Linked DNA regions of Mus musculus. The protein of the gene in region 1 purifies or fractionates together with the protein of each later gene. This does not show direct contact. Links are inferred from orthologs where the notes say so. Each region holds a gene or a part of one and is shown in the gene's direction. Other genes may lie near its edges.

Region 1 (6,711 bases):
ACTTCATAACTGTAACTTTGTTACCATTATGAGTTGTAAGGTAAATACTGATATGCAGATGGTGGCCTTAGGCGACCCCTGGGAAAGGGTTGTTTGGCATCCATAGAGCTTGTGACCCACAGGTTGAGAACCACTGTTTTAGACATTCCTGGAAAGAACTGGGTTTCTGAAATCAGTCACTTTAAGCTCCTTACTGGGTCTTAGGCAGCACTGGGTCAGGTCGATGCTCAGGCGTGGGTGGGTCTTAGCCGGCCTCGGAGTTCACTGTAGTGCTGCCTCGTCTCCACACAGCCGTCAGCAGCATGGCCGCAGTGAGACGGAGGAGTACTCGTCCGACAGCGAGAGTGAGAGCGAGGACGAGGAGGAGCTGCAGCTCATCCTGGAGGACCTGCAGCGGCAGAACGAGGAGTTAGAAGTGAGTGGGGGACAGCCTCCAGAGGGTCTTGGGACCACAAACCACCTATTTTCTCACTGGAAACTTACGGTGGAGAGGAATTCAAGAACACTTGTTTTTTAAGATTTACTTTATTTAGATTTATTTTATGTATATGAGAAGTACACTGCAGCAGTCTTCAGACACCACAAGAGGGCATCAGATCCCATTACAGATGGTCACAAGCCACCGTGTGGTTGCTGAGAATTGAACTCAGGACCTCTGGAAGAGCAGTCACTGCTCTTAACCGCTGAGCCATCTCTCCAGCCCTCAAGGGCATTGTTAGCAGGATGAAATGTGTGCTCTAGGCTGTCTGGAGTGGGGCGTTTTCCCCTGACCTTGGTTACAAGTGAGCCTAAAAGAGGTGAGAGGCGCCTGGCCACTGTCCTAAGTCGCCTTGCAGTGGCTTTCTTGTAGTCTGTGGGGTACCACAGAGGAGTGGGTGTGACAGGATGCCTAGGAAGCTGGACTGAGAGGGAGATGCTGGCCTAAGCGGGGTTCTCTTTTCATCCTGAATAAACATTGTCTTCTGTAAGGACGACTAGGTAAACAGACACCTTTGCTTCATTCATGTTCACTGAACTGCCTGCCAGGCAAGTGCGCATGGGGTCAAGCACAGAGGCTGGGCGCGGTGGCTCAGGAGGCAAAGAGGGGCATTTCTGAGTTGGAGGCCAGTTTGGTCTACAGAGTGAGTCCAGGACAGTTGGGGCTTGAAAAACAACAGAAAGATAGAAAAACTACTGTGGCTGGAAAGATGGCTGAGCAGTTAGGAGCACTGGCTGTTCTTCCAGAAGACCCAGGTTCATTTCCTAGCACCCACATGGCAGCTCTTAACTGTCTAACTCTGGTTCTAAGGGACTCAACACACTCACACAGACATAAATAAAAATAATATTTTAAGGATTGCCCAGGACTCTGCTATCCACTGTGTGATAGGATCCAGGGACATGGCCCCACTGGTGAAGGGGCTGCAGTGAGGCTGAGGCCCGGAGTTAAAGCCAACTCCCTTCACGTGCACACACCTGTGTCACACACGCACCTGTACCCCTTAAGGGATCCCTGCACTCAGGAGGCAGAGGCGCACAGAGCTCTGAGTTTGAGGCCAGCCTGGTCTACAGAGTTGAGACCTTGTTTTGGAAAACATAAGAAAGGAAGTTAGTGTGAGTGAGACGGGTTGCTGGGAATTCTGGCATTTAGAAGACACATTGGCAACCTGGTTTGATCTCCATTTTCCTGAACAGGAACAAATGGCAGAATCGGGAGTGTTCTGTTGTGCACGTGGCGTAGGGCCTGCTCGAGCCAAAGCGGCTCCCCTGCATCTCGCCGTGTTCTCAGTTGGGGAGGGACGGGTCAGGGCTTCCCCAGTGTCACACCGAGCGAGCAGTGGGACTGGCACCTCTGCTCACCTCACTGAACCAAAGTCGAGTTGTGGGCACAGCTGCTTAGGATGCGGGGAAATCCCGAGGAAGAAGGGTGTTCCGATGGCTGGGGCGGTTGCAGGAGCTCGGGGTGAGCTACCCGTGAGTTCCTGCTGAATGAGTGAGTCCCCAGCATTTAAGCAGCTGTGGTTCCCACACTCCTCAAGGAGCACAATTCAGATGTGGTCAGTAAAGAGAGACTTTGACTTGGGAAGAGTCTCAGCTTTTACCCAGCCCTGGCCCCTGTCCTCACTGCTCTGGTGACACATCGTTTCCTAAATGTGTTTCTCTTTGTAACTCAGAGTCCATACTCAGGCATTCAGAGTGATGCTTGTACCCTAGCCACATATCCATCTTCTTATCTAATGCTGCACCAGCCAGGCTGGCTAGAATAGAACTAGATCTTTCTCAGGATGGCTTGCAGCCTGTGCTCTGCCTAGATTCCTTGTGCCCTTAAGTGGTAACTGCCCTTTCTGTCATTCTTTAAGATAAAGAACAATCACTTGAACCAAGCAGTCCATGAGGAGCGGGAGGCCATCATCGAGCTCCGAGTGCAGCTCCGGCTGCTCCAGATGCAGCGAGCCAAGTCTGAGCAGCAGCCGCAGGAGGAGGAGGAGCCCGAGAGGCGAGGGGGCATAGGCCCACCGCCCTGTGACGGTGTCCTCGAGGTGCGGGTAGCCAAGGAGCAGGCGAAGGCCTCGCCCAGCAAAGACCGGAAGGAGACGCCCATCTGAGCTGCGGGCCGGGCCCTGTGCATCTTACTGTGAGTGTGAGTGAGCCGCCTGCCTGCTGGACACTCTGTAAAGGCTCGCTCTCAGAGACGTCCCCTCTCACACACGTCTGACTCCGTGTCAGGCTCAGGGCCTGGGAGGCTGAAGCAGTGGACACACGGGGGGCTTGCAGGGAACACAGGCATTTCCAGATAGTGTCAGCTTATTTGAAAAATAATTTTCTTTGTTAAAAATAACTATTTTAACCTTTGAGTGGCTTCTTTTTAAACCAAAAATTCTTTTCTTTGGCTTTTTTTTTTTAAATCACAGCAGAATCAGGCTCTCTTTCTTATCAAAGGGTAGGAACCAAATCAGGTCACTTCTGCGCCTGCCTCGTGGACGCTCGTGGTCTCCCCAGCCCTGCAGGGTCTCTGGCCACTCTTGTTTGTGCCTTCCACACCTTTTGGTGCAGATTGTTCAGTGGGGAGCTGCCTCATATTCTCTGACTGGCCAGAAAGGCTCTCGCTGGGGTTCCCTGCACCACGTTGCTTTTCCACTTCCGAGTTGGGTCTGTCTGTGTGAGTCAGGACGGCCCAGGTTGGTGGCAGACAGAAGTTACCTGTGCAGCCTGCCACCAGCCTGGGCAGTGCAAGCCACTCACTCACTGCCAGGGATCAGCAAAGGCCTCTTCTCTGAGGTGGTCGGAGGTGACCACCTTGACTCTGAGGCGTTGCACAGGAAGCTTCTCAAACCAGAGCCCTTCTCCACACTGACCTTCCAAGAAAACCACAGTGACTTCAGCTGCTAGCTTGGGCTAGGATACACACCTCTGCCAGGATAAGCCATGTAAATGCTCTCACGCAGAACGTTCACCTTTCCGCGTCATCTCAAGGGGCTGCTATAAGGACTCTGACAGAACCGAGCCGAACCGGTAGCTGTGACTGACCCCACCTGGTGTTTGCTTCTAACTCAGATGACTGCTCCCCGAGTCTGGGAGGCCTGCCTCTTAGGCAGCCAGATCTCACTGTCAGATGAGTGGCCCCCAGGGAGGTCCCCTGTGGCTCTGAAGACAAATCCCACACTCTAAAGTGAGCGACAAACCCACAGGAGGGCTCTGGTCTCCTCCTAGTTAGTATTTATTTCAGCGCCTGTCTTTTGTGCGGTTTTTTGTTCGCCTCTGCCTATTGCACTGTTGTGACTTGTTGGCCATTATTTGATTTTTGTACGGAAAAAAAGCTTTGTTATAGAAATCAGCATACTATTTTTTTAAATCTGGAGAGAAGATATTATGGTGACTGGAAATATGGTCAGGTGTCAAATATAAATGTACAAACGCCTTGCTGCATCCCGTCCGGTGTACAACATCCACTTTATATTTGCTGGCAATATTGAAGAATTCTTTTTGTTTGTGTAAACTCTAATTTCTATCAAGGTATCATGGGTTTTTAAAATTAGTATTTCATTACAAATGTCTCGATGTTGGTTAACTAATTTTTGCCAGGACCATTATTGATCAAGGAAATAAATTCAACAGCCATTTGAGAAAAAAAAAAAAAAAAGGCTTCTATTGTCCACTCTTCTCTTTGAAATAATTGCATAGCCAGCATCTGGCACGAAGCTGGTGGAGATGCCCAAGGTGGAGAGCGAGTGGGAAGCCTTATTCCACCTCGCTCCTCGCCCATGCTGTGTGTGTGCTCCTGCTGTGGTCTCTTGGCCCTCTGCCCACCGTGCTTGCTGCTGACTGGGAGGGTTTGCTCAGACTGTGTGCAGTTCCTGAACCTGACAGTTTCCTGGTGCTGTTGGGAAAGCAAGCTCTGCCTTCTAGGTCAAGTCCAGAAGGCTTGGCCCAGTTGTTAGAGGTTACAGAGGTTTGCATTTTACATGTGAAATGAGGACTTAGAGCAGCTAGCATGCTAGAGATGTATGACAAACATCTGAATCTGTAGCTAGTAGTTTAACTGCACCACAGAATTTATGTTGCTTTACAGAAGGTTCCAGGTACCCTGCTGTGACATCTTAACTTCAGGCAGGGATCTGGAAATGAGGGCCCGAAGAGGATCAGCTCCCAAGCGGGGACTCATGGCTCTCACCGTGCTCTTCTCTGTAGGCGGCTCTGTACTGAACAACACCGGGCATGAAGTCCTGGGTATAGACCCTGGTGTCTATGTACAGAGCCAGGAGTGCTGGGAGCACCTGTAATTCTACCCTGGTGGAAATGAGGATCCTGTAAATGCTAGTTAGCTGCTCTAGGGGAGTCAGTGTGCTCTGCGTTCAGAGGCCAGCCCTGTCTCCAAAAGTAAAGCATAGTGATAGAGGACACAGATATCAGCTTTCTCATTTCACATGCCATGTGTGCTCATGCAGGCCTGTACACACACACACACACACACACACACACACACACACACACACACACAATATATACCCTGGCTGGTGACACACACACACACACGCACACACACACACAATATATACCCTGGCTGGTGACACACACACACACACACACACACACACACACACACACAATATACCCTGGCTGGTGACACACACACACACACACACACACACACACAATATATACCCTGGCTGGTGACACACACACACACACAATATATACCCTGGCTGGTGACACACACACACACACACACACACACACACACACACACACAATATATATACCCTGGCTGGTGACACACACACACACACACACACACACACAATATATACCCTGGCTGGTGACACACACACACACACACACACACACACACAATATCACACACACACACACAATATCACACACACACACACACACACACACACAATATATACCCTGGCTGGTGACACACACACACACACGCACACACACACACACAATATATACCCTGGCTGGTGAATCCAGCTGAAGACTGGGCTTTCTGGAACCTTCCTCCAGGTCGTTTTGCTAATGTTTTATTCGTCTGAGTATGATCTAAGCTTAGTTGATATTCTTCAGTAGAAACAAATCAAAGACCCCTATCAACTAGGTAGAGAGATTGTGATAAGATTACACATTTGTAAGATGATGCATAATTAGTAAATGGTTCTATACTGGACTTCAGGAGACCCAGGAAGTAAGGACCAAGTAGCAGGGTCCTTAAATTCCCATATACAGGCTCCCTCTGCAGAGCAGTAAGGTGCTGCTGCTGTGTCCACGTCCCCCACTGCCCAATTCCAGCCTGGATGCTTGTCCCCTCTAATCTGGAGTTTTGCCACCATTCAATTAGTACGACCCATGAAAAGTTGTTCTAGTTTGACAGAGGAAAGAGGAATAGCTTCATTTGCAGTGAGCTGTAGTTAATTTTTAAAACTGCTTCACGTCTGCTCAGTACCATGTCCTCTGGTGATGTCTTCAGCAAGGTGCAGGCTCCTGCCTCTCTTCAGGTGTGTATGTACTTCAGGCGAAGGGGCCCTGGGTGTCTGGTAGTGTTGGGGCTTGGGCTTCTCAACTGTGAGAAACGGCTTTCAGGGAGGCACAGGAAATACATAGCTTGCATGCTTCACCCCCAGTAAGCAATTTTATCCTGTAGGGCTTCATTTCTCATTGACAAAACAAAAATCCTCATTTCAAAAAGGAAGGTTTATTAGATTTAATCCCTAGTGTAGGGCTTTAAGGCATAGACGTTTCCTGAGGACATAATCTGCATATTGTCATGAAGCGCCAGGGCACAGGCAAGACTGCATCAACAGTTTATTTTGTGTGTTACTGTATGTCTGTTGTATGTCTATTGTAGGTAAGTCTATTACTGTATGTATGGTGTGTGGAGGCCAGAGGCTGACATTGGGTGTCTTTTCTTGATTGTTAATTAGTATTAAATATCTTTTTACATAGTAAATATATCTTATTTTTATGGGATTTCATATATAACATACTTTGATCCTATCACCTCATCCCTCTGTGTGTCTGTCCTTTTGTCGGTTTAAGAAGAGACTGTCAGACAGATGTCTTAGTCCTCTGGCTTAGACTATCCTCTTCCCCCGCTCCTGCTCACCAGCCTTCAGTGTACAAATCGTATTGCAGATATATTGATTGGATCAAACACCTCAGTCCATCTCTGCATATCACCAGCTGTGGCTTTCTGTAATCTCTGCCTGCTGCAAAAAAGAAGCTTTT
Region 2 (7,905 bases), on another chromosome or scaffold:
CAACACTTCTATCATTTTGGGTTTCTTCTATCTCTAGTAGAACAGCTGTTTTTGTGGTGGGTGTGGGGTTGGGGGAAGGCAGTCTTGGCAATGTTTGGAGACAGTTTTTGGTTGGCATGGAGCAGGCAGGACAGAGGCAGGTGCACTACAGCTCACTCTGACAGAAACAAAACAAAAACAAAAACACCCCAAACCTCTCTAGCCTCAAGGGTTGAAGTAGACAATGTCCAGATCCCCCTTCCAGACCCAGGGGCCAGACACAGGCTAAATGGTGTGAACTATCTTTCTTGAATGCACTGCTTCATGGGATACTTTCCACCTCTGGCCAGCCTACATCTGGTTCACCTCAAGCCTGTTTAAGACTCCAGTGGTGTATGGTGATCACCGTGTGTGTATATACATACATATGTGTATTTGTGTATGTTGTGTGTGTGTATACATACATATATACATACATACACACACACATATATATAGAAAGAGAGACATACATACACAATCATTACAATTAAGCAACAAAAATATACTAGGATTTACACCACTATTTTTATGTTTGCACTGAGAACATTAGGTTTAAAGGGTACCCAGCACATAAAAATACAACATGTTTGTATTTGAGAAACAAAGATTTAGATGTCCCCTCGAGCCTCAACTGCAAGGCACCCTTTCCTTTATCCATAAACCTGGTGACTTAAGCTCAGGGTGATGGTGATTTCATTATTTCTGCAACGGGAGGCGCTCATCTTCCCTTGCCCCTTCTTCCTGCAGGGGACTCAGCCTTCCACCTACCTTCTGATTCATTTCCCCTGGAACGCTGAGGAGTTTTTTACAATGATCCGATCTGTTTTGTATCTGGTGTTTCCATTGTAATGCTATTACAGAACCAGCGTCGTGACAAATCGTCTGTTTATGAGGGGAATCAGTTCTACAAGAAGTAGAAAATTAGGTAAGCTTCTGTTCTGCAGTAACAATAAAAACCAGGATGGGGGAGAAGAATCCTCCAATTTATTCTCATCTGTATCAGCAGGGAAGCTTGAGAAGATGAGAATTTTCTCCTAATATCTTCTCAAGCCGATGATTAACTACAGATACCATGCCAAAACTGTAGTTCCCCTAAGGAAGACCAAGATGTTCTCAAGCTTAGCCTGACACGGGCCCTTTAAGAAAACCAGGCACTTCAAACTCCACCCCTCTGCCGACTGGAAGCCTGCAGGTCGGCTTCCCAAGGCAGTAAGTTTTAGGGATAAACCGGAGAGAGCTAGTCCCCACCCCTCACTCCCGAGAGAATGCTCCAAGGGCTGTAAGCCCTCCAAACCCCGCAATCTGGAGGTGGGGTGAGAAAAGAACAATAGAAACTTGTGAAGTATGGAAGCCACGCCCACCCCAGACTGCCCTGAATAAAGCGGAAAGAATGCAGTTAAACCCCAGTCCCGGGCAGTGCTCCCCTTACCCCATCCATCTCACCCCGCGAGCTGCTTTTCCAGAAGCGTCCTGTAACCGAAGGAGCCGAGTGTCTCCTGTCCCAGACCCAACATGGCAAAAGTCAAGGAGCCAAGTAAACTTCAGTGACAAAGTGGCTCCCTCAGCAGAGGATTATTTACACTGGTGCTCTGCTGCTGGAGAGCAAAGCCAAAGGCTCTCCTGCACTCCCCTGGATTTTTAACTTTTATTGTTACATTTTGCTTCACCGACTGTGTTCCTAGCTCTAAACTCAAGCCTACCTAGGAGACGTCTTGGGGGGTGGGAGGGCTCACCGAAGTTAGCATGTCTGGGTTGTTGACTAGAGGCAGCCATCTTGGTAAACCTGAGGTCAAGGTTTCACCCCTGGCAGGTTAAGAGTTATTCCGAGGTGAGACCAGTTCCTATTTAGCAGTGGGGACGAAACATGTCTAACCACTGGATCCAATTTGGTTTAAAGACAAGGTTATGAGCCAGGAAAGCCATGTAGTCATGGCTAAGCGCTTTATAAAACTATAAAACAGTTGACAGCCAGAAAACACTTTTCATCCCGCACCCCTTTATTTTGCATTTTGTTTCCATGAGTTTGTTCTTCCGTCGACTAAACTTGGATAATAAAGCCCGCCTGGTTAGTTTCACTTTCCATTTTTTCCCCCAGAAACGAAAGCTGTTTTGTATCAGGAGGTGAAGTGTTTAGACCCTTCTCACCTGCTAGGCCTGTTTCCTACAAGCAAGCTCTCCTAAGAGGGAGGGGCCTAACAGTATTTGAATTTCTGATTCTTTGAAGCTGGGCTCTCTACAGTAGTAATTACGGTTTTATTTTTTAGCTCCTGGAGTTTTGTAGGAGTTGGAGAGCAGCGGATAATAATGGTTATACAGTTCCCCTCACTTAATCGTGGTTATTTGTTTAGCATTGTGCCTGCAGTTACTTTGGAAAATTGGTACTTGAAGTTTGTTTCAACCCTTCTGAGATTAAAAAAAAAAAAAAATTAAATAAAGCTCCCGTTTCTTTAACTAGACAAATCTTGGTTTCTTAATCCTATCCCCGTGACCGGTGCAGAGTCTTTGCAGGAGGTAAAGAGAAAAAGGTGGGTGGCGCCTGGTTCAAACAACTGGACGCACCGGGGCCTTGTGGCAAGCTAGGCTAACCTGTGGCTGCCGACATGCCACAACACAGACAGACACACAGAGAGGGAGAGAAATAGATACACAGACACACAGACAGACACACAGATACTCTTCTTTTTCGACCCACTGCAGTGCAACTTTCTGTTCCCAGCCCCAAGCGCGGTCTGCACGGGGCACCCTGGGGGAGATCCACGCGCGCCGGCGCCGATCCAAGGTGCCAGGCTCCAGCTGAGCGGGGGTGGGAGGGTGGGGTGGCCCAAGGAGCCCGGCTGCCCCTCCCACGTGTCCCGGCACCTGCGGGGCTGGCGCTGCGTGGGGTCCGCCTTTCTCCGGAAGAGGCGGCGCGGCGCGGCGGTGTATGTGTGTGTGTTGGGGGGCTGGGGCCCGGGGACGCAGGGGACCCTCCGGGGCGGGAGCACGTGCGCGGGGAGGCGGCGGGGGCTCGAGCGTCTGTGTGCAGCTGCTAGGAGAGCGCTGGGGCTGGGGCTTTGCGGGGACGGCCCCGCGGAGCGCGCCAGAGTCCCGGCGCTGCAGTACTGCCCGAGTCCGGGCGGGGTCTCTGTTCCCTGGCGGAGCAGCTCGCGCGGCCGCGGGAAGCGCCCTCTCTTTCTCCGCCGCCGCCGCCGCGCGTCTGCGCCCTGCCGCCCGCCCGCGCCGCGCTCTGAGCTCCCCCGCTCCCCAGCTCCCCCGCCGCCGCCGCGCGCCCGGCCCCGCGCCCACTCGCCGCGCGCCCACTCGCCGCGCGCCCGGCCCTCGGCGCCCGGCTCCCCGCGCCCACTCGCCCAGCCATGGCGGACAGCGCGAGCGAGAGCGACACGGACGCGGCGGGCGGCGGCCCGGCAGCCATGCAGTCGTCCTGCTCGGCGACCTCGGGCGGCAGCGGCGGGGGCGGCGGCGGGAAGTCGGGGGGCATTGTCATCTCGCCGTTCCGCCTGGAGGAGCTCACCAACCGCCTGGCCTCGCTGCAGCAGGAGAACAAGGTGCTCAAGATAGAGCTGGAGACCTACAAACTCAAGTGCAAGGCGCTGCAGGAGGAGAACCGCGACCTGCGCAAAGCCAGCGTGACCATCGTGAGTGCACCCCGCGGACCAGGGGGGACCCCCGAGTGCGCGCCCCCGTGCGGGGTTGCGGGCCTGCGGGCACAGAGAGCGGGCCTTGGGGCCACGAGCGCCCTCCCTCCCTTGAGGTGTTGGAGGTGCCTAGGGAGACTCCCCAACGTCCCCTCGTCGCCTAGGGTGGAGGTCCCTCCGAGCCAGGGCTAGAGGCTGGCGGCGTGGCTGGGGGGGGGGCGGGGTGGGACTTTCTCAACCCTAGGGTGCCTGAAGGCTCCGAATAGAGGGACACCCTCTCCGGAGCCCCCGTGAGTGGACGAAGCTGGGGTCTGTCCAGGGGTTAGTTGGGGAGACGGGGTGTGCCACTGGGCTGGGTCCCCAGTTGGCAGGAGGACGGCGCTTTGCTGGATCGCCGGCGCTGGGGGAGGGAGAGAGTGGCCCGGAATCCGGGAAGTGGAGTTTTCTGGCCAGGATGGAAAGGGAAGGGCGGGCACTGAGGCTACACCAGCACCCCGTTCGGAATCACTGTCCTTTTGGGCCCGGAGGGTGGGCGGGTACAGAGTAGTGGGGAGTGTAACGTCTGGCGCTGGCTGGGACAGGGTTGGAGCTTGAAACCAGGATGGAGGGTGGCCGCTGGGACTGCCTGGCTGAGCAAGGATGTACGTGCGTCTCCTTCATTGGTTCGAGAGTCTTAGGAGTACTTGCCTGTGAGTCTAGGTACTTGACGGGAACACAGGCCATCTGTTCTGTTTCTACCTGGCCCCTCGAGGCTCCCCTGGAAGAGGGTAAGATTAGTCTGAGATCAGCCTCCTGGTGTAGCCGAGTGGAAAGGCCCCCGTAGCGGTGATGAGGCGAAACGTAACTAGAAAAAGTACGCGTTGTGCTCTCACCTCCCATCCTTGCCAACTCTACATCATTAACATGCAGAATCCCCCACAGACAACCCTATTCAGATCAAAACAGTTTCCCAGCCAGCAGCACGGAAAGAAAATGTCAAGGAATCAAGGAGGATAAATTGCCAGAGCCGCTTGCACACAGCTGATTAGATGAAACCCTTCCAGTGGAGAAAAAGAGATTTGGTGGTGGGTCAGGGATCATATCCTGGAGACGAGAACGGGACAAATTTAAGCTGCCCTTGTGCCAAGAAAAAGTGATATGTGTGTGTGTGTGTGCCCTGTGGCTTCTATATGGCTGCCTTGGTTTGTGTAGCTAGCCGGTCTCAGTCTCCACTAGAGAGGCAGTGTGATTTGCAACCTAAATAGCAGTTGGTCTTGCAGAAAAGCATCTTACTTGCTCTTAACCAGTCCCGTTCTATGCGAGTACATCTCCAGGCAGCAAGTTACTGGATTGGCCTTTTGATAGTAAAGGAAAGCCGTTTGTGGAGGTAACCATGTAAGCCTTTTCTGGGCTAAGAAAGGACTCTGCAGAGTTGCTGTTGAAGAACAGAGGGACAGGACAGTTGGAGGTTGTTGTTTATTTAAAATCTGATGCACAGGAACGCTATTTAAAATGTGCCGTAAAGGACAGCGTTGGTCGCTTGCAGAGCTGGAACCACGGAAGGGAGCAGAACTTACAGGAGGAGGGGGTACCACCTCTCTGGCCTCTTGTTTGCCCGAGCAGCAGGTCAGGCTGCTGTTTGTGTGGAGACAGGAAACACAATGAAAGGTTATCTGTTTGACCTGCTGACCCATAAGCAGGTCTGTTACTTGTACACAGACACACTGGCCTTGCAGGGACAAACTGGCCTTGCAGGGACAAGCATGTTCGTCAGTGGCAAGCAAAGCCAGACACCTCCTGAGTACTTAACAGTGGATGAGGTGGGGGAAGCTTTGGTTCTTTGGCTCTCACTCTCAGTGACCGACCACTAACTTACAGTCAGAGCCATGGTGCTAGGAAGTTGTTCTGTAGTCCTAGCCAGTAAAGTTGTTAAGTCATTCAAGCTGACCACTTGCAAGTGTGGGGCAGGCCTCAAAGTTCGTTTTCTTTCTTTCTCTCTCCCTCTCTCCCTCTCTCCCTCTCTCCGTCTCCCTCTCCCTCTCCCTCTCCCTCTCTCTCTCTCTCTCTCTCTCTCTCTCTCTCTCTCTCTCTCCCCTAATGTATTCAAGGAGATAAAAGAGCACATGGCCCACCTGAGTACCTCACTCTTGGCAGGGGTTTAAGGGGCTAATTGTCAGGGGCAGGAAAGAGATTGAGGAGGCTGTTCACCTGAGATGTAGCTGTTCACCTGAGATGTAGATTTGGGGGCAGGGTCCCCCCTCTGAATTGGCTTAAGCCAGGAGAGTCCACTCCAGCGTCCAGCCGTGCGCTGCCTGACACACCTGACTGGGAAGACTCTGACAAGGGTTAGGTAGCTCATGCAGGCCTCTGCAGGTTTCCAGAGTTTTAGTTAATTTGACACGAAGGGGAGTAACGGCAAGCCATTTCTTGCTTTCTATGCTCTTGCGCTTCTAATTGTGACAATCATTTTCCTGACGATGTACAGTAAAGGTGATGAAGGCTGTACTTAGATACGACAAGGACGGCCTGTTGACTTTCAGTTGTACCTTGATGGGGTGGGGTAGTGGAGACCCCCTTGAAGAGTAGGCTATTTTCCCCAGTCGGTTGAGGTTTACGGTAAAGACCGGCATAGTTTCTGCCACCTGCTTCCTATACCCTCTGTAGGCACAACTCCCTCCACCACCAGCCTCCGGAGCAACAGAGTGGGGCAGTTGTTAAGAATTGAGGGTCCCACGTGTACCCATAGTCTGTGGTTTACGTTAGGGCTCACTGTTGGAGTTGGATATTCTTTTTTGTTGTTGTTTTGTTTTTGTTTTTGTTTTTCAAGACAGGGTTTCTCTGTGTAGCCCTGCCTGTCCTGGAACTCACTCTGTAGACCAAGCTGGCCTTGAACTCAGAAATCCGCCTGCCTCTGCCTCCCAAGTGCTGGGATTAAAGGCGTGTGCCACCACTGCCCCCCCCCTTTTTTAATAAAGATTTATTTGTTTTACATATGTGAGTACATGGTTACTCTCTTGAGACACACCAGAAGAGGGCATTGGATCCCATTACAGAGGGTTGTGAGCCACCATGTGGTTGCTGGGAATTGAACTCAGGACCTCTGGAAGAGCAGCCAGTGCTCTTAACTACTGAGCCATCTCTCCCATAAGACCTGGACATTGCTGAGCCCTCCCTCACTGTAGTGGGGATGTCCTGTGGGTGTGGAAAGGTTTGCCCTGTCACACACTCGATAGAATGAATGGAAGGATTCCCCATCCTCTTTCTTTTGCGTGTGTATGCATGTGTGCCCGCCCATGCACACGCTCACACCAGGCATGCATACGTATCTATGGAAGCCTGGGATTGTGTTCTTTGATTTGTCTCTTCTTTATTGAGATAGGGTCTCTCTCACGTGACCCCACAGCCTGCAGATTAGGTTAGTCTAGCCAGCTGGCCAGGCCAGTTTGCTCAGGGGTTTCTCTGTTTCCACCTTCCGAGGGCTGAGATTACAAGTGGATGCTAGGCCCACCGAGGTTTTGATGGATTTTCCTTGGGTTCTGAGAACCCGGTCTTCAAGCTTACACAACAGGTACCTTATCCAATGACCCTCTACAGTATTTATTTTTTTGTGGCTTGTTTCTTTTTAGGGCTTGGTTGTGACCATTTATCTACTGAAGGGCATCTTAGTTGTTTGCAAGTTCCAGCGGTTGTGAATAAATCTGCCTTAAGCATTCACATCCATTTGTCTAGACAAAAGATTTCAGCTCATTTGGGTAAATACCCAGGATTAGAGTTGCTGGGTTATGTGGTAATTGAGTGTTTACTCTTGTAAGAAATTGCCAGTGATAAATGACATTTGGGGGTGCTCTCCCTCACAGAATGTGGTCCTGCTCTTCCTGGATTCTGATCTTTCTCACAGGCCTGTACTGGTCCCAAAGTGATGTACAAGGCTCCAGTGAGCTCCAGTGAGCTCTCCGGTCTGCTCTGGTAGAGCCGGTTCATTCCTACTGCGAATCCCAATTTAAAAAGTGTGGATCCTTTGGTCTGTTTCCTCAGAATCTCTAGAGTAAGAGGAAGCCATTGCCTGTGGGGAGAGAGTGTGTGACTTTGTAACAGGCCTCTTCTCTTGGCCTGTCCATCATATGGGGGAGGAGTTAGAGCTAGTCTTCAGTAGGATCAGAGATGTTTTGAGTGACTATCCAATTTTACCCATTCAATCAGCAGTAGAGGCAGGCTACTGATTATAAATGGCATTTTTTTTTAAGAGTGGGAAATAAACAAACCAAATGTT
Region 3 (7,171 bases), on another chromosome or scaffold:
CTGCAGGCCTTTTTTGCTCTGGGTAGCTAGCTCTCCTACCCCAGAAGCTGCCAACTCAGCATCTCTATTACCAGGAATACAGCTCAGTTGGTTTCTTCTACACGGGGGACAGGGGTGTGTCTGCTCTTCAGGCCTTGTGTTCCTCAGAAAAGCACGTGGGCTCTCCTCTCAGACTTGAGCCTTATCGCTTTCTCCCTTTGTTTGCTTACCATGCTGCTTCCTGTTGTGTTGGCCCCTTGCTGGCTCTGCGGCTTCTAGCATCAGGTAAGTTGTTCCCTCACTTCTCCCACTGCAGCTTCACTCTGTTCTGCAGATCCTGCCCTGTAAGGGTTGTGAGGAAGGAGGGAGAGTGACGTGATACAGTGGGCAGAGGGTAATGGGACGGGGAAAGGGATGAGGTCATTGGCCACCTTTATCCCATATAGACGAAGGAAGAACAGTCCCAGATCACCAGCCAGGTGACCGGGCAGATTGGCTGGCGGCGAGAAGGCATCAAGTATCGCCGGAATGAACTCTTCCTAGATGTTCTGGAGAGTGTGAACCTGCTTATGTCCCCACAGGGTAAGTGTCTTCTCATGATGAGACCGGGGATTGGGGGTGGGTAGGTCCTGGCCTGTCGGCGTGGCTCAGCTGCTCCCTGTTTCTCTGTTCTGTCACCAGGGCAGGTGCTGAGTGCCCATGTGTCAGGCCGGGTGGTGATGAAGAGTTACCTGAGTGGCATGCCTGAGTGCAAGTTTGGAATGAATGACAAGATTGTCATAGAAAAGCAGGGCAAAGGCACAGCTGATGAAACAAGCAAGAGGTACCGGTGTCTGGGAGCTCAAGGGACACAAGGATGAGCAAGCCTTTGAGAATCCAGTGAGGCCTAGTGAACCCAGATTCCCTTTGGAGTTCATTTCTGGAATTGTTAACTGTCTTTCCAAGTCATCCTTGGCCAGTTAGTCTTGTGATTGACGATAAGGCATGGAGGGACTGTCTTTGTCCTTGGAGAGCACGCTTTTTTTGTTTGATCCCCAGCAACAAAGTTCTCAGGTGATAAGGAACCCAGAGGCTCTCCCACACCTCAAACTGCAGGGCAGGGATTTCCAAGTCAGAAAGCTGTGTTCTGGAAGCTTCCCATAATCTGTGTGGCTAGCCTGCTCTGGCATGGTCTGTTAATCTGACATGTACCTATTTGAGCTCTGCTTCCGTTTACAGTGGTAAGCAGTCGATCGCCATTGATGACTGCACCTTCCACCAGTGTGTGCGACTCAGCAAGTTTGACTCTGAGCGGAGCATCAGCTTCATCCCTCCCGACGGAGAGTTTGAACTCATGAGGTGCCATGGGGGTGTGGAGGAGGCAGGGGGTGCATCTGGAAGAGAGTAGGGCTGGCCCTGTGCTATCACATGTGTTCTCTCCTCCAAAGATACCGTACTACCAAGGACATCATCCTTCCTTTCCGGGTGATCCCATTGGTGCGGGAGGTGGGGCGCACCAAACTGGAGGTCAAGGTGGTCATCAAGTCCAACTTCAAGCCCTCACTTCTGGCCCAGAAGATTGAGGTGAGGACTGGAGACTTGGAGAGTGAAACACCTATCTCGGGGAAGAAAAGGCAGATAGATGATCCAGGTCTCCCCAGAGCTCACTGACGGGTGTGTCACTCCTAGGTGAGGATCCCGACTCCATTGAACACAAGCGGGGTACAGGTGATCTGCATGAAGGGGAAGGCCAAGTACAAGGCCAGCGAGAACGCCATTGTATGGAAGTGAGTCTTCAGGAGGCCACAGGCAGGCTCAAGGCGTCATAGTGTACCTTCCGGTTAAGTTTGACCTGTCCTCTGTGTGGGTTATAGGGTGAGAAAAGAGTGCATGCTTGTCCAGGAGCCTGTGTGTGTGTGTGTGTGTTTGTGTGTGTGTGTGTGTGTGTGTGTGTGTGCTCCATCTCTCATGCACTTGAGGAGCACGTGTGTCTAGTTTTCAAGATATTCCCGTTGGCCCTTGTCGACTTGTGTCTAAAGCGTACAGTCTGGGTGAGGGAGAAACTGCAGCTCCGGGTACTGAAGGAGTAACTACTGCAGCCTCCTGCTGCCCATTCCCTCTGTGTTCCTAGGATCAAGCGCATGGCAGGCATGAAGGAATCCCAGATCAGCGCAGAGATTGAGCTCCTGCCCACCAACGATAAGAAGAAATGGGCTCGGCCCCCCATTTCCATGAACTTTGAGGTAGGCAGAGGAGGGGTATAGCGCAATGGCTGGGTGTGATGGGAGACTCTCTGATCATTTTGATTAGACTCTACTTCTTAGGAATAAGAGAACTGGGCCTAGGTTGGGAAATGTCTTGAATTGATAGACCCATCCCCTTTTAATAGAAATTGGTGTTTAAACTGACCAAAAGCTTTTGACTATTTGATTTGTCACAAAATAGTTTTTGAGAAACATTTGCTTTGTGTGAATAAGACACATCATTTTCTCCACTTTATTTTCAAGTCCACAGCATTGGCAGGGATAAGTATGTTCAGTGGTAGTTCTCTGGGATAAGTAGTTCAGAGATAGTGCTCTGGCAACCTAAGGATTAGAGCAATAGTTTTATCCTCACAACTGGGCTCAGCTTCAGATGTGTCCTGATTCCTAGTAACTCTCTTCACGTGGTAGTCTCCTAGTGAATTCCCTCCACACCAGTCATTCAAGAACACCTGTGGTAGATAGGGTGGGTGAACCATGGAATTTGCCAGAGTACTGTGATAGAAGGGCCATATTCCTAACTGGAGCTGTCCTCTGCTCAGGTGCCATTCGCGCCTTCTGGCCTCAAGGTGCGCTACTTGAAGGTATTCGAACCGAAGCTGAACTACAGCGACCATGATGTCATCAAATGGGTGCGATACATTGGCCGCAGTGGCATTTATGAAACCCGCTGCTAGCTGCCTAGTTGCAGCTGGCCCACCTCCCTACCCACCCTTCCCACAGGTCCAAGTACCCCTAGTGACCACTCACCAGTGTCGTTCCTCCGTCCTGCTCTGCTGCCTTTCCTTTCCAATAGCCCCTGAGTATAAGTCTGAACCAGCCACACCACAGTGGAACTGGTCAGGTAGTGCCTGGCTTCCTGGGAGGGTGGTTTTTGAGGCTTCTCTTCCGTCTGTCTGTCCTGGCTTAGCGCCAGGCCCTGAGTTTTGTGACCAAAGCCAGGTGCTCTCCTCTTCTCTCTACCCCTGTGGCCACACCTCTGCAGTGGGAAGGTTGACTACCCCTCACCTCAGAGCTTCCCCAAAGGCCAGTAACAGATCCCCAGTCTTTAGTCCCCACTCTGCTTTGGGATAGTATGAGCTTCGTTTTGTACACGTGTGACTTTGTCCAGTTACAAACCCAATAAACAATAGAGTGGAGTTGCTGGCTAAATGTTAATGGGGCCCGCAGAGGGTCTGACGGGACTATTATTACTCCATGCAGTTCTGGCTGTCCTGGAACCTGTGTGTAGGCTCAGGAGATCTACTTCCTGAGTGCTGAGATTAAAGTGTACACCACCATGCCAGACTTTGTTTTGTTTGGGTCTTGCTGCTTGTAGCTCTGGCTGACCTAGAAATCACTATGTAGACCAGACTGCCCGTAAATTTTAGGTGATCCCTGTGCCTCTGCTTCTCAAGTGCTGATACTGCAGATATGTGCTTTGAGATGGGTTTCATTGTGTGAGCTGAGGTGGCTGGACTCAGGGTCCTCCCGCCTCCATCTCTCAAGTGCAGTGTTGTAAGTGTGCAGGTTTCCCAGTTAGTACAAAGAGGCAAGATTTGTATTAGTTTTGTTTTGTTTTGTTTTTTTAAGGATTTATATCAGTACACTGTAGCTGTTTTCAGACACACCAAAAGAGGGCATCAGATCCCTTTAGAGGTGGTTGTGAGCCACTATGTGGCTGCTGGAAAATGAACTCAGGACCTCTGGAAGAACAGTCAGTGCTCTTTAACTGCTGAGCCATCTCTCCAAGATCTTGTATTAGTTCTTGCAGGAAAGATATTTTCCCCATGCATCTTATCAAACCCTGGCAAAAACCTCCATTCTTCCAGAGTTCCTAAGGGGATTGATTGTCCCAAAGATCTTGTATGTTAGAATAAATAAAGAATAGGGTTGCCCTCACCAGTTGGACCTTATGAGGTTTCAGCTTTTTTAAACAAACAAACAAAAACTAGAGTAAATTTAAAGCATAAGAATATAGCTAATCGAGGCTGGAGAGATGGCTCAGTGGTTAAGAGCACTGACTGCTCTTCCAGAGGTCCTGAGTTCAATTCCCAGCACCCACATGGTGGCTCACAACCATCTGCAATGTGATCTGACGCCCTCTTCTGGAGTGTCTGAAGACAGCTATGGTGTACTCATATACATAAAACAAATAAATCTTAAAAAAAAAAAAAAAGAATATAGCTAATCCCCATGTCCTGTCACCAGCTTCAACATCAGTCAATTCATGGCCAACGCTAGTATGTGTTAACGCAAAGGACTCAATGTGATTGCATCGGGATCCAGCCATGATGTCAGATCCCCTGCATCTGGGATTATAGGCAACTCATAGTTACCTGATGTAGGTGCTAAGAACTAGACTTGGTTCTCTGTAAGAAAAGTGCATGCTCGTAACCACTGAGCTATTTCTCCAGCCCCTAATTGTGCTTTTTTTTGGGGGGTGGTGAGGGGGGACTGGCTTGGTTTGGTGTTTTATTTTCCTTTTGAGGAGGCACAGCGTTATTGTATAAAAGCTGAGCCAGAGAGTTTAAAATAGGGATACACGATCTAGCACACACACAAGAGTCTCCAGTTCATATGTAAGCCCTCTCCAAAGTTACCCATATACATCTAGTCCCTCTTCAACTTCAAATGTGCTTGGCCTCTTCATACCAGTCAATTCCCTTTAGGGTCTGCCACTGTCACAAAACAACCCTTTGCAGAACACATGACACCACATAGCCCTAGACTGCACTCCCTTAGTCTGACTTCCCAGGTCGGTCTCCTCGGTGGAGGCTTCTGCTGGTGGTGTCTTGAGCATCTCAGGCATTGACTCAGGTGGGGGGGGGGGCACTTTCTTCTAGGAGATTTCCTTGATAGAGTCAGTTCTCTCTCCGTGGCTGTTGCCAGCTGTACCACGGGTACCAAGGTTCACCTGACAGCAGTGTGGGGGTGGGGTGGGGTGGTGGCTGATGGAGTCACACTGACAGTTCGATGTATAGTAGGAAAGTCAGCATCTCGGGTCTCAACCTGGAGAAGGTAGCAACTGAGAAGACCACACTCCCTGGCTTTCTGGATGGCCTGGGTCAGCGTCTTGTGCCGCTTCATACAGACCCCCTGTGTATGAGGCATGGAAGATGATACCAGTGTGGGCACAAACTCTTCAAGAGCTTCACATCCTAAAGTCAACGTGAAACTTGTGATGCCGGCAGATGGGGCAAGGATTCCCAGCAGCACTGGCGGCAAGCGTTTGTGGTTGCAGCAGTAGTCAGCCCAAGCAGGGCGAGAGCCATAGCTGTTCTGGTATTGTGAATCCAGGTATTTCCAAGGTTCATTTTCATAAGGGGAACCGGAAAGTGAGGACAGAGCATCTTCTTCAGGATGGCCTCAGAGCAAGAGTCTGGAGGGGAACCTGAACTACAAAAGAACTTTGTAAAAGTGTAGGAAACAGCCTTAGCAGCGTGTGCCATCTTGATGCCTGCCGTATGGCCTGCCAGAAGAACCGTGTTTGGTTAATTTTATCTTCATTTAATGCCTGAGGGATTTACCTGCATCACATGTATGCAGAGAACTCCCCAATGCCACAGGGGCATCGGGTTCCCCTGGAAGTGGAGTTGCAGAGAGTTGTGAGCAGTCATTTGAATGCTGAGAACCACACACCAATCCCTTGAAAGAGCAGCAAGTGTTCTTAACTGCTGAACCATCTGTCTCCAGCCTCTAGGTTTCAATGGTGTGTGTGTGTGTGTGTGTGTGTGTGTGTGTGTGTACAGATAGAGGTCAGATGTTCGTGTTGAGTGTATTCTTCAACTGCCTCTAGTTTCAAGACAGTATCTCACTGGCCCTGGAAAAATGATTTTGCTCAGCGGACCAGCTCCTAAGTCCTGGTGATCTTACCTTGCCTACCAGCACTGGGGTTTAGGGTGTGGGAGTAAAGATGTGCCTCACGTCTCAGGACTGGAGACAGAATAACTAACATAAAGCAGCCTGGGAAACAGGCAGAAAGGCCTGGCTGGCCCTATGATTTGGCACAACCAATGTTTTTAGAGTCTCTGATCTATATTTAAAAAAAAAAAAAATCCTGCCCTTTTTTCCCCTGATATTCCAGAGAGTTTCAGTCTTTCCCGTTGTTTTTCTACCATTGTCTCCACCCCAAACCCTGTATCCTCCTGGGGCTGGAGAACCCTCTCTGATTTCCTGATACATTGGCTCAGTTGCATAGCTACTAATGTCTCAACTCTAAAGTAAACTGGAAGCGCCTAAGTACATTTTATACAGAAAATAGACCACAGTGACTTACAGATACATCTGACTTTACTTGGGTACAAGGGATCAAACTCAGGTCTTAATGCTGAGAACAGAACAAGCACTTCTCAGAGTCCTTTCTCCAGCCCCTGGCCTGAATTTACTGTAAACTGGTTATTAGATCTAGAGGTTCAATTGCTGTTTTGTTTATGCGGAAGTTAGTACAGTCCAGAATGGCCTCGAACTCCCAAATTGCCTGCCCTAGTCTCCTAAATGTATTATACACATATGGGTGTACTCAGTAGCTTACTGAGACCAGAGAATTGAGTACTCAGTAGCTTACTGAGACCAGAGAATTGAAACAAGGTTTCAAATGGCCCCAGAATGGCCTGGAACTCATTTTGTAGCAGTGGGGTGACCTTGATTTTTTTTTTTTTTTCTCCTTAGGTTTTTCTCTTTAACCCTAGTTGTCCTGGAATTCTGTAGATCAGGGTGGCCTTGAACTCAGAGATCTGCCTTTTTCTGCCTCCTGAGTGCCGGGATTAAAGGCTGGTTCCATCTAAGTCCAGCAACCTTGAATTCTTGATCATTCTATCCCTGCCTCCTGAATGTTGGAGTTATTGGCATGCACCGCACCCAGTTTTATGAGGTACCGGGGATCAAACACAAAGCCTCAGGGTAGACAAGCATTTTACCAACTAATCTATAACCTCAGGCATGCTGATAGCTTTTTTAAACTTTAACACCAA
Region 4 (7,838 bases), on another chromosome or scaffold:
AAGATCAGGAGTTCAAGGCCAGCCTGTGCTACAAGAGACCTTGTCACTATCTATCTATCTATCTATCTATCTATCTATCTATCTATCTATCTATCTATCTATCATCTTCCTAAGCTACCTTAGACTAGTGTGTACAACAATACCATGTAAAGCTTTTTATATCAGTGGCTATGATATCCTATATTTGTTCTTGCAGGAGTGCTTGGGGGAAGTGAGGCTTGTTGCCTATCATATAGAGCAGACTACTCTGTCATGTGGCTACTCTTCAGGAGAGCAGAGACAGATTGGAAAAGTAGGAAGAGAATAACCTATCTCATGGCTTCTATGTTCCTGAAAAGGCATGACAGTCATGGAAAGTGTGATGAGATTTTGAAGTAGAAATTTTCTAGAGCCAGACAGACTCTGCTATTTCTCTACTTCATCCTTTGTGTATTGCTGCGGTCGTCTCTGTCAGCAGTTCTGAAGCAAAATGTGGAATGAGGAATGAAAGCTTTGAAAAGAGAAATTTTCTGCATTTGTAAGCAAACCTAGGTTCACCTCCTGTTGAGTGCAAAGCTAAGACAGGCAAGGGCAGGGCAGGGAATATGAGTGCTGAAATGTTAATAACTTTACTGGGTAAGATGAGTTATGTCCGAAACAGTACCTTAGTGAACAAAGGAAGCATGGGGATTTTATTCCAGGAGTGGACACACATACATATATGAAAACCCTTTATGGGCAGGCACATTTCTGAGCATGCTCAGTTTAAGGTGCTAGTTCAAGGAGAAGACACACATTTCTGGTTGTACTTAGCTTATGGTCATTTAGCCAGTGTTCAGAAAGCTACAAAAAACAGGCAACTCTTTTGGACTTGATCAGTTTGCATTATAAAGATAACAAGAATGCCTCTGGCTTTGTTCAACGTTCTTGCTAAAGTCTTATGAAATTTTACAAGCAGAAAAAAAAAACCAGACAGTGCATCGGAGCTTGTCTACACGTTCACGTGCACTTAGCTGCTAACATGCTTGGGCTGAATCTTTACTTTTTCTTCTCTGGTACTGGAGGACAGACTTGTGTTTGGCACATGCTGAGCAAATGCTGTGCTACTGAGTCATACCTCCACCATGAATCGTCTATATTTTATTTCTCCAGAGTCCAAAAGGGAAGTATAACTCTGGCTATAATTGAGGTTGACACGTTTCTTTTTTCTTTTGTACATCTCTTTCTTCCCTTTTCCTTGTCTGCTTTTCCATCTTTTGACTTCTTCATTCTTTTCTCTTCCTTCCATTGGTCCTTATTTTAGTTGACTATAATATCAAAGTGTGCTTGTTATCCTTGATAGTATTTTTGACTTGTTTTCGGCTTTTGCTTTTTTGTGTTGTTACTGTTCTTGCAATGGGTCTTCTCTGGAGTGGTCTCTGTCTCTGGAGTGGCAGGATTACAGGTATTTGCTACATCTGACTGCTTCACGCTTTTAATAAAAAACTGTTTGGGATGGAATATATATATATTCTTAATACACACATATTCTTTTATCCCTCTTTTATCACTATGTAGCCCTGGCTGGCATGAGACTCAGTAGCCCAGGCTGGTCTCAAACTCACAGAGATCCTTTGGCCTCTGCATCGTGAGTTCTGGGTTTACAAAGGTATGTGACACCAGGTCTAGGTCTAACAGGTCCTTTAATTAGTGTTTAATCACAAAGAGGTTTCCCCTTTTTGGTTAGTGTTTTGGCATGAGGCATGCATGTACAATGGTTACATTTGTGCAACTCTTCTCAAGAACAATGGCACTTAAGATTTTTCTTTTGGAACCCAGTGTGGTGGCACATGTCTTTTATCCCAGCACTCGGGAGGCAGAAACAGGCAGATCTCCATGAGTTTGAGGTCAGCATGGTTTGAGGCCACAGAGAGTTCTAGGACAGCCAGGGCTATGTAGAGAGACCCTGCCCTAAAAAATAAAAAACAGATTTTTCTTTTGGAAAAAATGCAAATATACAAGACTTATAACTGACATTTTCAACACTGTTGTGGGGCAGACGTTTTTCTTCTAGTATATTATTTGTGGATCCCCCCCCCTTTTTTTTGCAGGCTAGCTTGTAATTCACAGTGTAGCTAGAGTAGATTCAAAATTTTGGTCATTCCCCTGCCCCAGCCTCCTAGTGTTAAGGTTACAAACAAGAACCACCACACTTTTGGCTAGAGCAATAGCCATCAGGGAAGAAGCCCATTTGAACACACACACACACACACACACACACACACACACACACACACACGCACACGCACACGCACACGCACACTGGGTTTTAAAGTTCTGAGTTCCAGTGTTGACTTTTTTGGTAGGAACTTGGACAAATAAATTTTGGACAAAATGTAAAAAACTGTTGTTTTCCTGCCAAAAGAAGTGTTTTCTGAGCCAGATGTCTTAAGAAAAGACCTTGTCTAAAAAAAAAAAAATAAGAAAATAAAAAAATCCTTCCAGAAAGTGAGGACTCTGTGTTACAGAGGTCAGTACTTTCAGGACTTAAGAAGCATAAATTTTCCAGATAGTGTCTCTCACCAACTGTTTCCCAGATTTCAGTCAAGCAGTGGAGCATAATGGACCTCATATCTGAAAAACAAACAAACAAACAAAACCCCAAAACGCCTCTTCCCACTTCTTTCTCAAGGACCTTCTGAAGTACCTTCTTCAAGAAATACCTTCTGGCACTTCTCAGTAAGGTTCAAATCCAGATCCCAGCCATACCTGAGAAAGTGGCCAAACCCCATCATCTCTGGGGTGCTGCTGGGACCCCATTCACATCTTTGTTTTTGTTTGTTTGGTTGTTTTTTTTTTTTTTTTTTTTTAGCTTTTCAGGACATAGGAGGAAGGGAAATCCAACTTTTTGTGACTGGTCCTTTTTCTAATTGGACACCACATCCCTATGGGACTCCTAATGAGACAACATCTCAGTTTTCCCCATCCCCTGAAAAACTCTTTTTCTTGTGTGTGTGTCCAGATGTTCCCTTCTTAGCCAGGGTGGAGAGCCCAAGATGCCCCTCAGGAACACGGTGGGCTAGGTGGGCGTTGGCAGCAGCTCTCTCTGCCTGGCCTCCCTTGCAGAGCAGGTGAAAGGCTTGGGAGGGCGGCAGCCAGAGTTGCGTTCCTTACCTGGCGAAGGGGCGGAGCGGGGCGGGCTTTCGGGGAGGGGCCCAGGTGGGATTTCGGGCTGTGATTGGTCAGCGCCGCGCCTGTCTCCATGTGCCGCGCAGAGGAGGCACAACATTCAAGCCCGGAGGGGGCGGGGCCGGCGCTCTCTTGGAGGAAGCGGCGGCGCTGCAGCTGCGGGGCGTGGGGGCGGCGGCTTCGGAGGCCGAGGCGGCGGTGGTGGCCCTGGCGGCAGCACCAGCACCTCGGCCAGGGAAGGCGGTCGGTTCGGACGCTACAGAAGGCCCTATGGAAGTGGCAGCGGGCGGAGGCTGCGGCGCCGGGCCGCCTTTGCTGCTGAGCGATAGCGAGCAGCAGTGCTACTCTGAGCTCTTCGCGCGCTGTGCGGGCGCTGCAAGCGGGGGCCCCGGACCTGGTCCCCCCGAGGCTACCAGGGTCGCCCCCGGCACTGCCACTGCGGCCGCTGGTCCAGTAGCTGATCTGTTTCGAGCGTCGCAGCTGCCACCAGAGACATTGCACCAGGTATGTCTCTGCGCTCTTTTATCCCTCTCTGGTCTGTGGGGGCAGTGTCTATGGGAAGAATGGGGCAACAACGACTATTCCCAGGGACTATTCCCGGAGATCTGGAGGGCGGTGGCCAGGACCGCAAAAAAAAAAAAAAAAAAAAAAAAAAAAAAAGGGGGGTGCTCTCTTGCCGAGGATGGCGGCGACGCCCTTGTCCCCAGGGACACCAGCCTCCTCTGCAGCTCATCTGCTCCTAGCCTAGTGCTTGGCTGTGCTCTTCGTCTCTTGAGAAAGTCTGACACCCCTATCATATCTGGGGGTTCTACAATCTCCCAGACCCAAAGTTTGCCCTGTTCCGAAAGTGATGTTTGTTTTGGCTGCTGTTTGCTTTAACCTCTGTTCCTTGCTCCTGCCCCTCCCTTTGTTGACTACACTCTCGGGGTGCCTTGTTGGGATTTGAACTTGAAGGGTGTGTACATGTGTGTCTGTAGGCTCTGGGCCTACAGCTACATGTTGTCCTTTATACTTGTGATATGTACATATCTGCTACATAGATTTGTTCACTAATGTATTTCTGATTATTAGTATAGAACTGGAAAACCTTAAAGCCCAATTGTAGAACAGGGACTCAGGGCTACAAGATAGGAACATTGATCAAGTTCAAAGTAAGTTCCCCATTTGGGTCCAGGGGTGGATTCAGAAGTCTACAGCTGTAGTTTGTCATCTTATTGTCACTTGACTTTGACGTGGAGTTACGAAACAGACGGTGTCATAGCTTCTGTCTGTCTGCCCCGTACCTGGAAAGGAGGGAGGAGTGATTCACTGCAGGTGCTGTTTTGTGCTTTCCTCGAGGCTTGGAGAAATTGCTTGGGAAGCCCTTTGTCTGTCGGTTGATGTTACCAGCAGTAAATGGGGATCATATTGTTAATATCAAGCCCTAAATGTGAACCTATACTTAAAAAGCAATAGTGTGAAAGTTATTAGCAACAATGGAATATTTACAGTGGTGAGCAAATGCTTTAAAATGTAGTTCCTAGGAAGTACTGACGGTTTTATGGTTCACTTATCATATCTTTCTCTGCCTTTGTGAGGCCCGCTTTCTTTCTTTCTTTCTTTCTTTCTTTCTTTCTTTCTTTCTTTCTTTCCTTCTTTCTGGCACTCAAGACTGTTTTATACTGCTGGGGTATACATAGATGCTCCTATGTTTATGAGCATAATTTTAGCCACTTGGTTCACCTTTCGAATTGAGGATTTCTGAACATGATTAGTATTCATAGAATTTAGCATGGCTGTTTGTTCCTGTAGAATTCTGTGATAAGAAGATAGTTCTGCCACAGTTGCTAAGCAGTTGAGTTGCACGGGGTGATAAGGAAGTTGGTGTTCTGAAAGAAACTATTACAAGGACCTCAGAATACTGCTGAGCATAATAAATTTACTAAAGTGTCCGAGGCAATGCACCAAATAGTTGTGCTGTACATCTGGCCGGGATTAATTTGTGGACAGTAATACATCAAGTGTGATAAAAGAAAAGGGTGTATGAAAATTGGTTGAGGTTTTCCCAGGAATTGGAGAGGGGATCTTTCTAGTGTGATAACTGATGCTTTCTTGAAGAACATATAATTTAAAAAGAACCAAAGGTACTCAGCCCAGAGAAATAAAACACAGCCCTTTTAACATAACAAGTTAGAATGGCCCATTACTCTTGGTACAGGTAACAATTAACATTTAAAGTCACCCTGAACTGGGAAGGGTAGTCAAAACTGGGATCTAGTGGCTATCTAACTTTTATCTACCACTTTGGTGATGTGTGTGTGCCCTGTCTGACTTCATTTGTTTTAATTCATTAGTATACTAGCGATTTTAAAACAAATGTAGAAAACTTCCCCCTTTCCCTTCTAAACCGAAACCTGTAAGTTCAGATGTAAGTGGCCCAACAGGTATAACTGCTCAAATCATGGAGACAGTAACCAGACCTGGTAGTTTCTATGGTTAATGGCCAGATTTTCCTCTTAATAAGCATACGATTAAGATGACTGTAATGTAGGGCTGGGGATTTAGCACAGTTGGTAGAGTGCTTGCCTAGCATGCATGAAAGACTGGATTCAGTCCCCATCACTGCACAAAATCGGACATGGTGGCACATACCTATAATCTCAGCACTCTGGAGGTAGAGGCAACAAGGTCACAAGTTCAAGGTCACGCTCAGCAACATAGCTAATTTGAGGTCAGTCTGGGTAAATGAGACTTTGTCTTAAAATGATGATTATTATCTAATAACTCACAGAGATCCAATGATAGGCCATCCTTAGACATCAAGATAGGTTATAAATATTGTTTAACATGTACTATCAGGAGAAACCTTTAAATCGGGAAGAATCCCAGTTAGTAACATCTGATTGTCAGATAATAGATTAAGGCAAAGAAGCACGTCCTGGCTGTGAGAAGTAGGTTTATTTTATTTTATTTTAGATTTATTTATTATTTTATACATATAAGAGTTTTTCCTGTGTATGCCTGGTATGCACCAAGGTCAGAGAAAGGGCATCAGATTCCTGGGATCTGCAGTTACCAACAGTTGTGAGCTGCCATGTGAGTGCTGGGAATTGAACTCTGGTTCTCTGCAGGGGCAGCAAGTGCTCTTAAATGCTGAGCCGACTCTTTAGCTCCATAGGAAGATTTTAACATCTCTGGACACAGGCTTATCTTTGAGAAGTCATTAAAAATTTCAATTTAGGTTCCCTCGTGGCTCAAGCTGGCCTCAAACTCTCTATGTAGCAAAAGTTGACCTTGAACTCCTGCCACTATCTCCCAAGTGCTACTTATTTGAAAATTAAAAATATGTTCAAAATAAAACTGCTTAATCATTAAGGAGATCCACAGGTAAAAGGAAATCAACAAAATCCTTATCAGGAAAACTTTTTCCTGTTATGAGATTATTAGCCAGAACTATTTATTTAAATTTTAAATAGTTTTTCCTTTGGAGATAATATAATTTCTCCTTTTTTCTCTTTTACATTATTTCCCCTTCCTTTTCCCACTTTCAAACCCTCACATATATTATTCCTTGCTCTCACTTAAATTTATGGCCTCTTTTGAAATTCATTGTTGTTACATGTATATTCACATATATGTATATACATATATCTTCCTAAATCTAACCCTCTCGGTCTGTATAATGTTACTTGTATGTATATGTTTTCAGGGCTGACCATTTGGTATTGGATATTGGATATAGTTGATATGCTCTTCTCTGGGGAATGCTGTTTCTCCCACTCTCAGAATCTCTTAGTTGCTGTTGTTCTTTGTATAGAGTTTAGGCACCCCAGGCAGTCCTAGGCGAGACAATCTCACAGCAAACTCCCTGACCCTCTGGCTCTTACAGTCTTCCTACTCCCTCTTCTATAATGATCTCCAAGTGCTAGGCATGAGGGTGTGTTGTAGAAATGAATGGTGGTTTTGTTTTGTTTTGTTTTTTTGAGACAAGGTCTTATGTAGCCCGGGCCAGTCTCAAACTCCCCAAGTAGATGAAGACCACTTTAAACTCCCCCAGTCCTCCCTCTACTTCCCAGGTCCTGGGGATACAACCTGCCAAGTTTATCTTTCTAAAAGTGAATAGATACCAGCAGATACAGTAAGTACCACATTCAAGACACTGTCTACTTAAAAGGATGTTTGAAGTATGGTGCAGTGGGAGGCATGCCTAAAATCCCAGTTCTAGGGAAGCTGAGGCAGGAGGATAGCAAGTTTGAAGCCTATTTGATCTGCATAGTGAGACAATACTTCAGCATACACGACTTTTAAAGATTATTTTCTACTTTTGTTATATATATATATAAATGTCACTAAAACAAAACATTTTTACACGTTATTTTAGTTTAAAATAAGACATTGTATTCTACATCACCTTCTACAACTTGTTTTTCCTCTCATTGTTATATTTTTTTTGGAATTTGTCCTTGTTGACATATGTCCCGTCAGTTTGTTTGCTTCCTTTTGAAAACTTTATTACCCACGCTGACAGTGAGTCATCATGATATTGTGGAAATCTTTATGCCAAAGGAAAGTAGGTGACCTTCTTGATTTATGGACAATGTAACATGACTAAGGATTGTTCCAAACACATGAACATCAAAAATACCTCATTCTATTCACATACAATGCACACTGTCATTAGTGAGTGTTTTTCAGTGGTCTTTTAATCTTAT

Evidence for each region.
Region 2: the proteins of Ralbp1 (region 1) and Ccdc6 purify together in Homo sapiens (affinity purification with mass spectrometry; 3 studies listed by BioGRID and IntAct, counting the BioPlex papers as one, with this or other methods). This does not show direct contact. The link is inferred for Mus musculus from reciprocal best matches to the Homo sapiens genes RALBP1 and CCDC6.
Region 3: the proteins of Ralbp1 (region 1) and Ap2m1 purify together in Homo sapiens (affinity purification with mass spectrometry; 3 studies listed by BioGRID and IntAct, counting the BioPlex papers as one, with this or other methods). This does not show direct contact. The link is inferred for Mus musculus from reciprocal best matches to the Homo sapiens genes RALBP1 and AP2M1.
Region 4: the proteins of Ralbp1 (region 1) and Reps2 purify together in Homo sapiens (affinity purification with mass spectrometry; 3 studies listed by BioGRID and IntAct, counting the BioPlex papers as one, with this or other methods). This does not show direct contact. The link is inferred for Mus musculus from reciprocal best matches to the Homo sapiens genes RALBP1 and REPS2.

What each region holds. Positions count from the first base shown.
Region 1 is NC_000083.6:65,845,824-65,852,534, reverse strand, and holds the end of Ralbp1 (ralA-binding protein 1), read left to right. Parts: intron 1-291; coding exon 292-415; intron 416-2,339; coding exon 2,340-2,585; 3' UTR 2,586-4,120; downstream 4,121-6,711. UniProt on the Homo sapiens protein: Multifunctional protein that functions as a downstream effector of RALA and RALB. As a GTPase-activating protein/GAP can inactivate CDC42 and RAC1 by stimulating their GTPase activity.
Region 2 is NC_000076.6:70,093,926-70,101,830, forward strand, and holds the start of Ccdc6 (coiled-coil domain-containing protein 6), read left to right. Parts: upstream 1-3,195; 5' UTR 3,196-3,374; coding exon 3,375-3,656; intron 3,657-7,905.
Region 3 is NC_000082.6:20,540,550-20,547,720, forward strand, and holds the end of Ap2m1 (AP-2 complex subunit mu), read left to right. Parts: intron 1-258; coding exon 259-264; intron 265-425; coding exon 426-561; intron 562-660; coding exon 661-802; intron 803-1,197; coding exon 1,198-1,317; intron 1,318-1,406; coding exon 1,407-1,542; intron 1,543-1,647; coding exon 1,648-1,745; intron 1,746-2,089; coding exon 2,090-2,201; intron 2,202-2,761; coding exon 2,762-2,896; 3' UTR 2,897-4,360; downstream 4,361-7,171.
Region 4 is NC_000086.7:162,639,087-162,646,924, reverse strand, and holds the start of Reps2 (ralBP1-associated Eps domain-containing protein 2), read left to right. Parts: upstream 1-3,266; 5' UTR 3,267-3,417; coding exon 3,418-3,651; intron 3,652-7,838. UniProt on the Homo sapiens protein: Involved in ligand-dependent receptor mediated endocytosis of the EGF and insulin receptors as part of the Ral signaling pathway. By controlling growth factor receptors endocytosis may regulate cell survival.